3 linked regions of the Saccharomyces cerevisiae S288C genome follow. The protein of the gene in region 1 binds, or shares a complex with, the protein of each later gene. Each region holds a gene or a part of one and is shown in the gene's direction. Other genes may lie near its edges.

Region 1 (2,716 bases):
TCATATTTAGATGATCTACTAATCTACCAGGTGTAGTGATTAAGATATCTGGTTCCAAATTTGATAATTTTTTGTGTTCGTCCTTCAAAGAATTTTCTAATTTGGCAATGCTCACAATAAGCGACGTCCCTTGAGTTAGCTTTGTCAACGTAGTATAAACTTGGTTTATCAATAGTTTTGTGGGGACGATGATTATACAACGCAGTCTGTTAATTTGTCTCTTGAAGAGGGTTTGAACAATAGGAATGGAGTAAGCCAAAGTTTTACCTGAACCGGTAGCAGCATTTACAAGAATATCACCGATTCTTCTGGTGAAGTTTCTCTTAGATACGTTCAACGTGAAGTTCAATACCGGTAATATGGAGTCTAGGATGATCGATTGGATGGGAAAAGTGTTTGTAGAGAAATTCTTGCAAATATTCTGCAGTAGTTTTGCTTCTAATTCATTTGCGTAATCCGAGAACGGTTTGATCAAGGAATTATCATAATATATCTTCTCAGTATTTAACCAACCCGTAGATTTGAACTGTAATGAATTTGTATTCAAATTCATTGGGTTTTTGACGAATTCAGGTTGAGGAATCTGTTTTAGTTGGTGAGTTGAGGCCGCCTCGTCTTCAATACCTTCGTCTTCCTTACTCTCAGCAATATCAGATGCACCTAGCCTTTCTTGCAATGATACTGTTTGCTTGAATCTCGATAGCACTGTGCTGTGAGTACTTGGCTTACTCTCTTCCTCTTCCACTTCACTCGAATCCTCTTCACTAGCCCCATAATCTACTTGCATACGGTCTTCGTCTTCCTCTGAACTAGAGTTGGAACTCTCATCAGAATCTTGGTGAGAGCCATATTCTTCATTATCAGATTCAGTAGCCTGCCTCTTTAAAGGCACAATGGCCGGGGGAGTAGTTCCGACGATTCCTTCTGGTGCGCTAGCTGCAGGAGCAGTCAATTGGCTAGGGTCAAATCTCGATGCAAACATTGTCACTACCGGTCACCAATGGTAAAGGTGTCCAGTTTCGAGCACATCTCATCGCCAGTTATGCTTTCTATATAATACAAATCTGCAATAATTTTTCAAATTTTAAGCATCACCCGGCATTAGCGTTTGGATCACTATTCACGGTTATGGCTGAGCAAGAAATGGCAATTGGAAGCGCCTAGTAAGAATCTAACCATGACTTAAAACGGTGAGGTTCATTGCAAGAGCAGTACAGCATCGGCAGAAGTAGTGTCCACCAAAAATAAAATGCAACCGGCAGCTAGACTTTTATCGCGGTCCGTATGGAAGGGCCCCAACATCGTGCCATTACCCATAAGGGAGGCCATGACTAAGGGCACTCCAATAAGAACAAACGCAAGGGCCGCCACCATCCTTCCTCAGTTCGTGGGACTGAAATTTCAAATACACAATGGTAAGGAGTACGTACCTATTGAAATATCAGAAGATATGGTGGGCCACAAACTGGGCGAGTTCGCACCTACCAGGAAGCGTTTCAGCTATACTCAAACCAAGAACAAATGAGGGATCTAGTGTATATAGATTTCTAGATGATATATCATGTAAATAAGATCAAGCCAGACTCGGGCTGTATATATATATATATATAGCATAATAAACAGTAATAGTGCTTTTAAAAGCATTTCAGTCTTACCCGAGCGACAAAACGATTTGGGGAGAAAAAACGCATATAACCAGGGAAAAGACGGAGAACTTACAGGTACACCAGAATTGAAGCAGGCCAACAAGAGCCATGTTGTCGAGGTTTATGTCCAACACATGGTGTACGCCCTTGAGACAGGCGCAGAGATTGTTTTCCTCCACTACGACAATGCAAGCGACATTGAATCAGATTAAAAGAGGCTCCGGGCCTCCAAGACGCAAGAAGATAAGTACAGCTCCACAACTGGATCAGTGTCCCCAGCGGAAGGGTGTCGTATTACGTGTAATGGTTTTAAAGCCCAAGAAGCCGAATTCTGCGCAGAGAAAGGCGTGCAGGGTCCGTTTGACTAACGGGAACGTGGTATCTGCATATATACCGGGTGAGGGCCACGATGCTCAAGAGCATTCGATTGTATATGTCAGAGGTGGGCGTTGTCAGGACTTGCCTGGTGTGAAGTACCATGTTATCAGAGGTGCTGGTGACCTGAGTGGTGTGGTAAACAGGATTTCTTCGAGGTCGAAATATGGAGCCAAGAAGCCAAGTAAATCGTGATGCGCAGTACGCTCTAAGTTTTCTTTGGCCTCTCGACTACTTTTCTCTAATATTCCCACTCCATACAACCTTTTGTAAATAGCAATGACCATACATATATATATATATATATATATATATGTATTCTCAGTATACGCAATCAATGCTTTGGTATATTTGGTGTATTTGGCATACTTACTCGTATAAAGCGATCTGAATTTTCAGACGCTTGTATTGACAAGAAATACTATAAGCATAGGGGCTAACTAGCGTTCAAAGGAACTAGTGTAGATACAAGACTAGCAATCTTCTTGCCTCAAAACGGTAATCCGCAATGCTACACTTACAACCACAAAACCTTCTCATCCAAAAGACACTGAATGAAGCGATAGAGGCACTTCGCAAGGGTTCGCCGTTGACCATGGACAGAATTGTTTCCGATTTCGACTATACCACCTACCACATTTCAAACACAGCAGAAGATAAGTCCATTCTGTTGTTGAGTGTTAAGACCAAAGCTT
Region 2 (2,572 bases), on another chromosome or scaffold:
GGATTTCTACCGTCCTCAATGTATTGAACAACTTCCAAGGGAATGTCCACCTTAGACAAGCTGGATTGAGGATCGTTGCTTCTCACGTTCAGCTTGTACAAGCGATCCACATTTCTTTGCAAGTTGGTGATCATTCCCTTGGTGGCTTCTGGAGTACCAGGAAAATCATATATCGAGACACCTAATTCAACGAAGGACTCAATAATCGAAGCCACTTGGTCTTGAGTAGTGGCCAGTTCTTGCTGCAATTGTTCATTGTTAGTGCTGTTTCCATTCATCTTATCGGTTTATTTTTCTATATATTTGCCTCTTTCTCAAACAGGAGTTAGTAGTTAAAAGTACGAAGTTCTTGTTCTTTAATGCGCGCTGACAAAAGAATTGGATAAAAGAGAATGGTGGGGGGACAAGAAGGAAATTTGTCCTAGTTTAACATGAATGGCATCTTGTTACCGGGTGGACATCACCTATTGATTCTAAATATCTTTACGGTTTATCATACTGTTCTTTATTCCGTCGTTATTCTTTTTATTTTTATCATCATTTCACGTGGCTAGTAAAAGAAAAGCCACAACATGACTCAGCAAATCTCGACAAAGTAAAAGCTCATAGAGATAGTATTATATTGATATAAAAAAAGTATACTGTACTGTTTGTAACCTTTTCAATGCTTTAAGATCAAAACTAAGGCCAGCAAAGGTATCAACCCATAGCAACTCATAAAATGAAGACCTATCATTTGAATAATGATATAATTGTCACACAAGAACAGTTGGATCATTGGAATGAACAACTAATCAAGCTGGAAACGCCACAGGAGATTATTGCATGGTCTATCGTAACGTTTCCTCACCTTTTCCAAACCACTGCATTTGGTTTGACTGGCTTGGTTACTATCGATATGTTGTCAAAGCTATCTGAAAAATACTACATGCCAGAACTATTATTTATAGACACTTTGCACCATTTCCCACAAACTTTAACACTAAAAAACGAGATTGAGAAAAAATACTACCAGCCTAAAAATCAAACCATTCACGTATATAAGCCGGATGGATGTGAATCGGAGGCAGATTTTGCCTCGAAATACGGGGATTTCTTATGGGAGAAAGATGATGACAAGTACGATTATCTGGCCAAAGTGGAACCTGCACATCGTGCCTACAAAGAGCTACATATAAGTGCTGTGTTTACTGGTAGAAGAAAATCACAAGGTTCTGCCCGCTCCCAACTGTCGATTATTGAAATAGACGAACTTAATGGAATCTTAAAAATAAATCCATTGATCAATTGGACGTTCGAGCAGGTTAAACAGTATATAGATGCAAACAATGTACCATACAACGAACTTTTGGACCTTGGATATAGATCCATTGGTGATTACCATTCCACACAACCCGTCAAGGAAGGTGAAGATGAGAGAGCAGGAAGATGGAAGGGCAAGGCCAAGACCGAGTGTGGAATTCATGAAGCCAGCCGATTCGCGCAATTTTTAAAGCAAGATGCCTAGATAGATAGAGTACGATATATAACCATATGTATGTGACTAATTATTTATTCCTTAATAACACCAATGATTACAACTTTCTAAAGCTGGCGGAGAATTCGCGCTGTACGAGAAAAGAGCGAAAACAGAGGAATATTCAAACTAAGAACCAAACTGCGATAAAGAGGATTGAAAGGAAAAACGAAAGAAAAGGTAAACTGACAAATATATACATTAACCGATGGGTAATTTCAGATTTCCTATAAAAACCAAGCTACCACCAGGGTTTATCAATGCTCGCATACTTAGGGATAACTTCAAAAGACAACAATTTAAAGAGAATGAAATCCTTGTTAAATCTTTGAAATTCATCGCTAGAAATATGAACCTTCCAACAAAACTGAGGTTGGAGGCTCAGTTAAAACTAAATGCATTGCCAAACTACATGAGATCTACGCAGATCAAAAATAGGTGCGTGGACTCTGGACATGCAAGATTTGTTCTAAGTGATTTTAGGTTGTGTAGGTATCAATTTAGAGAAAACGCTCTGAAGGGTAATTTGCCAGGTGTTAAGAAGGGTATTTGGTAAAAAATTTTATCGCGAAAGTATATATATATATATATATAGGATACGCACTTGTAAATAAATACATGATAATTTTTATTCTTCTTTAATAGATGATAATACTTACTGAGCAATACACTTATATGTAGAGAAGAATAAGATTATACACATACTGGGAGAAAAACAAGTAGCTATAGTTAGAGCTAAAATAACAAAAAAAGGCATACGTACATACAATGAGAAAAGGAATGGGATTGAAAAAGGGCAGTATCTGCCACTAAGTTAACGACTGAGAGATCGAGACACTCCTATAACAAGACACACTTCTTCTTCTTCTTTTCAGTAGTGTTCTTCTTAGCTTTACCATTCGTTTTAGATTTACCCATCAATGAAGCTCTAGTGGCGGCCTCAAACACTTCTCTGACACCATAACCAGTCTTGGCCGAACATTCGTAGTATCCGGTTGCGCCAATCTGGTCTGCTACAGATTGTCCCTCCTGTGATGTAACGGGTTGTTGACCTTC
Region 3 (3,623 bases), on another chromosome or scaffold:
TGGCGTGGTTGTCATCGATGGTTTAGAGATAACGGGAGTGGACACTGGTGTAGCCCTTCGTATATCAGTGGAGCTCTTATTCGAGTTTACTGTGGAAGATGCAACTGGCTGCTGGTGCTTCACTGTCGCGTTATTTTCTATAGTTTCTGTAGAATCTGTTAACGACAGTTTTGATAGTAAAGTGTCATTAAACTGGTGATCTGACTCGGACGCATTTATGGTAGAAAATGTGTTGTCAGCAGAATGATCCGGGGTTATATTGCTGGTATTTATGTTTGGAGTGACTGCTTCTAGAGATTTGGTTTCATCGATGTTAGAATGAGGACTCATGGATGAAGACATTCCACTGATGACAGAGGAGGAAGATACTCGGGTAAATTGAATAGGATCATCTAGTGAAACGACATTATTGTCATCATCATTGGTTGTCTCCGCGTTCTTCGCAGGATCCATGGATTTGTATCCACCAGCTTCATGGGCAGCATTAGTGCCTTTTTGTAAGGCATTGACGTTCAAAGTTCCAGTGGTCCTTGGTAATCGTAATCCATCGCCGCCATCGCCATTGCCGCCCATGGCCCTTTCATTGTCATTGCTGATACCGTTATCAAGACTGTCCTTGTCTGGTAGTTCCGATACAGCAGATGGATCATTGCTCATTTCTTGTATTAGTCGAGGATCTTGTGGGATATTTAGGATGGGGTGTGAGGCAGTGAAGGGAAGAAGTTTGGGTTGCTTGCTACCTCGCTCTAATTGTACGTACGGATGTATGTCTTTAAGAAAGTATGTAAGTGTGTGTAGTATGTGAGTATCTATGTAAGCATGCGTTGCTAATGCGAATTTACGGATGCCTCTTTTTGGTTTCGTATTTTTCCTCTCTGGCCAGGTGACTTTCTGAATTTTTCAGCTGCCAAAAGCGGTAGACTTTCGAATTCCCTCTCTTGGCCGTGTTTCGGGCCACGAGGCGAAAATTTTTTTTTTTTAATCGAAAAAAAAAGGAAAAAAAGATTAACGTTTCTTTTTCGTTCTATCGTCTTCTACGATATCGCATGTAACACAATGCAGCTATCTGATAATATGGTCCCAGAATCGCAATAGCCGGGCAGGCACGCTACTAGAAGGCGGTTCTGGATAGAATTCAACTTTAGATGGCAGACTGAGGCACTGCCGTAACACAAGGCTAAGTAGCCGCAGCTGTTGCGGTCCATCTTGTGTCGCGGTGAGATCCCACAATCCATAGACGAGTACATTAGAGTATTGCGGACCATTCGCCTGCGCTTGCATCCGGGTGAGGTACATGTATAAGTACTTTACCCGGCCCAAAAAAACTACGGATACCCGCTCCCGGCTTGCCACGTGACCTGCCACAGTGTTCGTAGTCACGTGCTCCTTCAGTCCTCCTAACTCTACGTACTTCCTGGCAGTGTCTCCAAGGACTATCACCAGTACGTTTGGGCTTGACTGATCCAGGCTCCAATCGCTTTCTACTAGCTGTTGCAACCGCTCTTCAAACTGCATATTGTATCCTGCTGCTGCTGTTGTTGCACCCGTTATTGCACCTGAGCATTAATATATGCGTATATGTATCTATCTATGTATATGTGTATGTGTAATATGTATACGTTTATGTTAATGCATAAACTGTAATGAAACGAATACTCACCCGCTTGCTCTCTCTCACGTATAACACACGCATACTGCCCTATTTTCCTGTTTATCTCGGTAAGAAAAGGCCGTGCCGGGTCAGAAAAGAGTGCAAGAAAAAAATCAATTCGGTAAGTGAATCCGAGAGATGAAATTTGTATGTCGTAGGTCACTGCTATATTTGATGGTAAATAATAATCAGTTCTGGCAAGTGTACATACGCTCGAGAGCCTGATTATCGCGGGGCACAAATACAGGTGATTCGAGAAATAAAAAGTGAGAAACGACTCTTTTCTCATGCAGAGACACGTTTTTGCGAGGAATTTCAGACGTCTTTCCTTATTGAGGAACCCTTCCCTTACCAAAAGGTTTCAGTCGTCAGCATCCGGTGCGGCCAACACCCCTAACAATAACGATGAGGTGATGCTGTTGCAACAGAAACTTTTGTATGATGAAATTAGATCAGAATTGAAGTCTCTATCTCAGGTACCAGAAGATGAAATATTACCTGAGTTGAAAAAGTCATTAGAGCAAGACAAACTCTCTGACAAAGAACAGCAGCTGGAGGCTGAATTGAGTGACTTTTTCAGAAATTATGCTCTGTTGAACAAGTTGTTTGACAGCAAGACATTAGATGGACAATCTTCTACAACGACAGCAGCAGCCACGCCAACCAAGCCTTACCCTAACCTTATACCTTCGGCCAATGACAAACCATATTCCTCTCAAGAACTTTTCTTGCGTCAACTAAACCATTCCATGCGTACCGCTAAATTGGGTGCCACTATTTCGAAGGTTTACTATCCTCATAAGGACATTTTCTATCCGCCCCTCCCAGAAAACATTACTGTTGAGAGCTTAATGTCTGCTGGTGTTCACTTGGGCCAGTCTACCTCACTTTGGAGGTCTTCCACACAATCCTACATATACGGTGAATATAAAGGTATTCACATAATAGATCTAAACCAAACTTTGTCCTATTTGAAGAGAGCCGCCAAGGTAGTAGAGGGCGTTTCGGAATCCGGTGGCATTATCCTATTTCTGGGTACAAGACAAGGCCAGAAAAGAGGGCTCGAGGAAGCTGCTAAGAAGACACATGGTTATTATGTGTCTACCAGATGGATCCCGGGTACTTTGACGAATTCTACAGAAATTTCAGGTATCTGGGAGAAGCAGGAAATCGACTCTAATGACAATCCCACCGAAAGAGCGTTATCACCGAATGAAACATCAAAGCAGGTTAAGCCTGACTTGCTGGTCGTATTAAATCCCACAGAAAATAGAAACGCTTTGTTAGAAGCAATTAAATCAAGGGTCCCAACTATCGCAATCATCGATACTGACTCCGAACCTTCTTTGGTGACCTACCCTATCCCAGGTAACGATGATTCATTGAGATCTGTCAATTTCTTACTAGGAGTCTTGGCGAGAGCTGGCCAAAGAGGCTTGCAAAATCGCTTGGCCAGAAATAACGAAAAATGAACACTTTTATTTTCTTTTGGCTTGTTAACCTAAACTTGTACATATGCCCATATATCCTTAAATATATATATATAGCCAACCCGAAGACGCTAAATAAACGCATTTTTTTTTTTTTTTACAGAATTATTACTTTCGTACTTGGGTTTATGCTTCTTATAACAACAACTATGAGCTATACCATGTTAACTTGGCCTTCATACAGGGGGGAAATCATATGATGATACGTATTCTCCTTAAGATACGTTTATTCACACTTTTCCTTAGATTCTTCATTTTCAGCGCTCTCATCAGAATCACTGTCACTTCTTTCGTCCTTTTGGATACCTTGCCATATCAATCTGTACAAGATTCTAAGAATTAAAAACAGCCAATACAGGTTAACTAATTGTAACGCAGCAATTAGTACAAATACAATTGGCAACGAAATCCAACATTTGTATTGTTGTGTGGCAAAATTCAACACATAATTACCTTCATGACGGAATTCTGTTAAGACTGAC

Evidence for each region. Proteins that work in one complex are often made in the same cells at the same time.
Region 2: MRPS12 (region 1) and MRP2 share a complex: the UniProt entries of both Saccharomyces cerevisiae proteins name them as parts of the mitochondrial small ribosomal subunit.
Region 3: MRPS12 (region 1) and MRP4 share a complex: the UniProt entries of both Saccharomyces cerevisiae proteins name them as parts of the mitochondrial small ribosomal subunit.

What each region holds. Positions count from the first base shown.
Region 1 is NC_001146.8:693,861-696,576, reverse strand, and holds MRPS12 (mitochondrial 37S ribosomal protein uS12m MRPS12), read left to right. Parts: upstream 1-1,754; coding exon 1,755-2,216; downstream 2,217-2,716. Other genes in the region: putative ATP-dependent RNA helicase DBP6, read right to left, coding at 1-982; mitochondrial 37S ribosomal protein uS19m RSM19, read left to right, coding at 1,250-1,525; ARC35 (Arc35p), read left to right, coding at 2,530-2,716. UniProt on the Saccharomyces cerevisiae protein: Component of the mitochondrial ribosome (mitoribosome), a dedicated translation machinery responsible for the synthesis of mitochondrial genome-encoded proteins, including at least some of the essential transmembrane subunits of the mitochondrial respiratory chain.
Region 2 is NC_001148.4:875,782-878,353, reverse strand, and holds MRP2 (mitochondrial 37S ribosomal protein uS14m MRP2), read left to right. Parts: upstream 1-1,724; coding exon 1,725-2,072; downstream 2,073-2,572. Other genes in the region: mediator complex subunit NUT2, read right to left, coding at 1-278; MET16 (phosphoadenylyl-sulfate reductase (thioredoxin)), read left to right, coding at 722-1,507; Rho family GTPase RHO1, read right to left, coding at 2,357-2,572. UniProt on the Saccharomyces cerevisiae protein: Component of the mitochondrial ribosome (mitoribosome), a dedicated translation machinery responsible for the synthesis of mitochondrial genome-encoded proteins, including at least some of the essential transmembrane subunits of the mitochondrial respiratory chain.
Region 3 is NC_001140.6:97,281-100,903, forward strand, and holds MRP4 (mitochondrial 37S ribosomal protein uS2m MRP4), read left to right. Parts: upstream 1-1,938; coding exon 1,939-3,123; downstream 3,124-3,623. Other genes in the region: mitogen-activated protein kinase kinase kinase kinase STE20, read right to left, coding at 1-657; SHU1 (Shu1p), read right to left, coding at 1,063-1,515; YHL005C (uncharacterized protein), read right to left, coding at 1,548-1,940; sphingosine N-acyltransferase LAG1, read right to left, coding at 3,368-3,623. UniProt on the Saccharomyces cerevisiae protein: Component of the mitochondrial ribosome (mitoribosome), a dedicated translation machinery responsible for the synthesis of mitochondrial genome-encoded proteins, including at least some of the essential transmembrane subunits of the mitochondrial respiratory chain.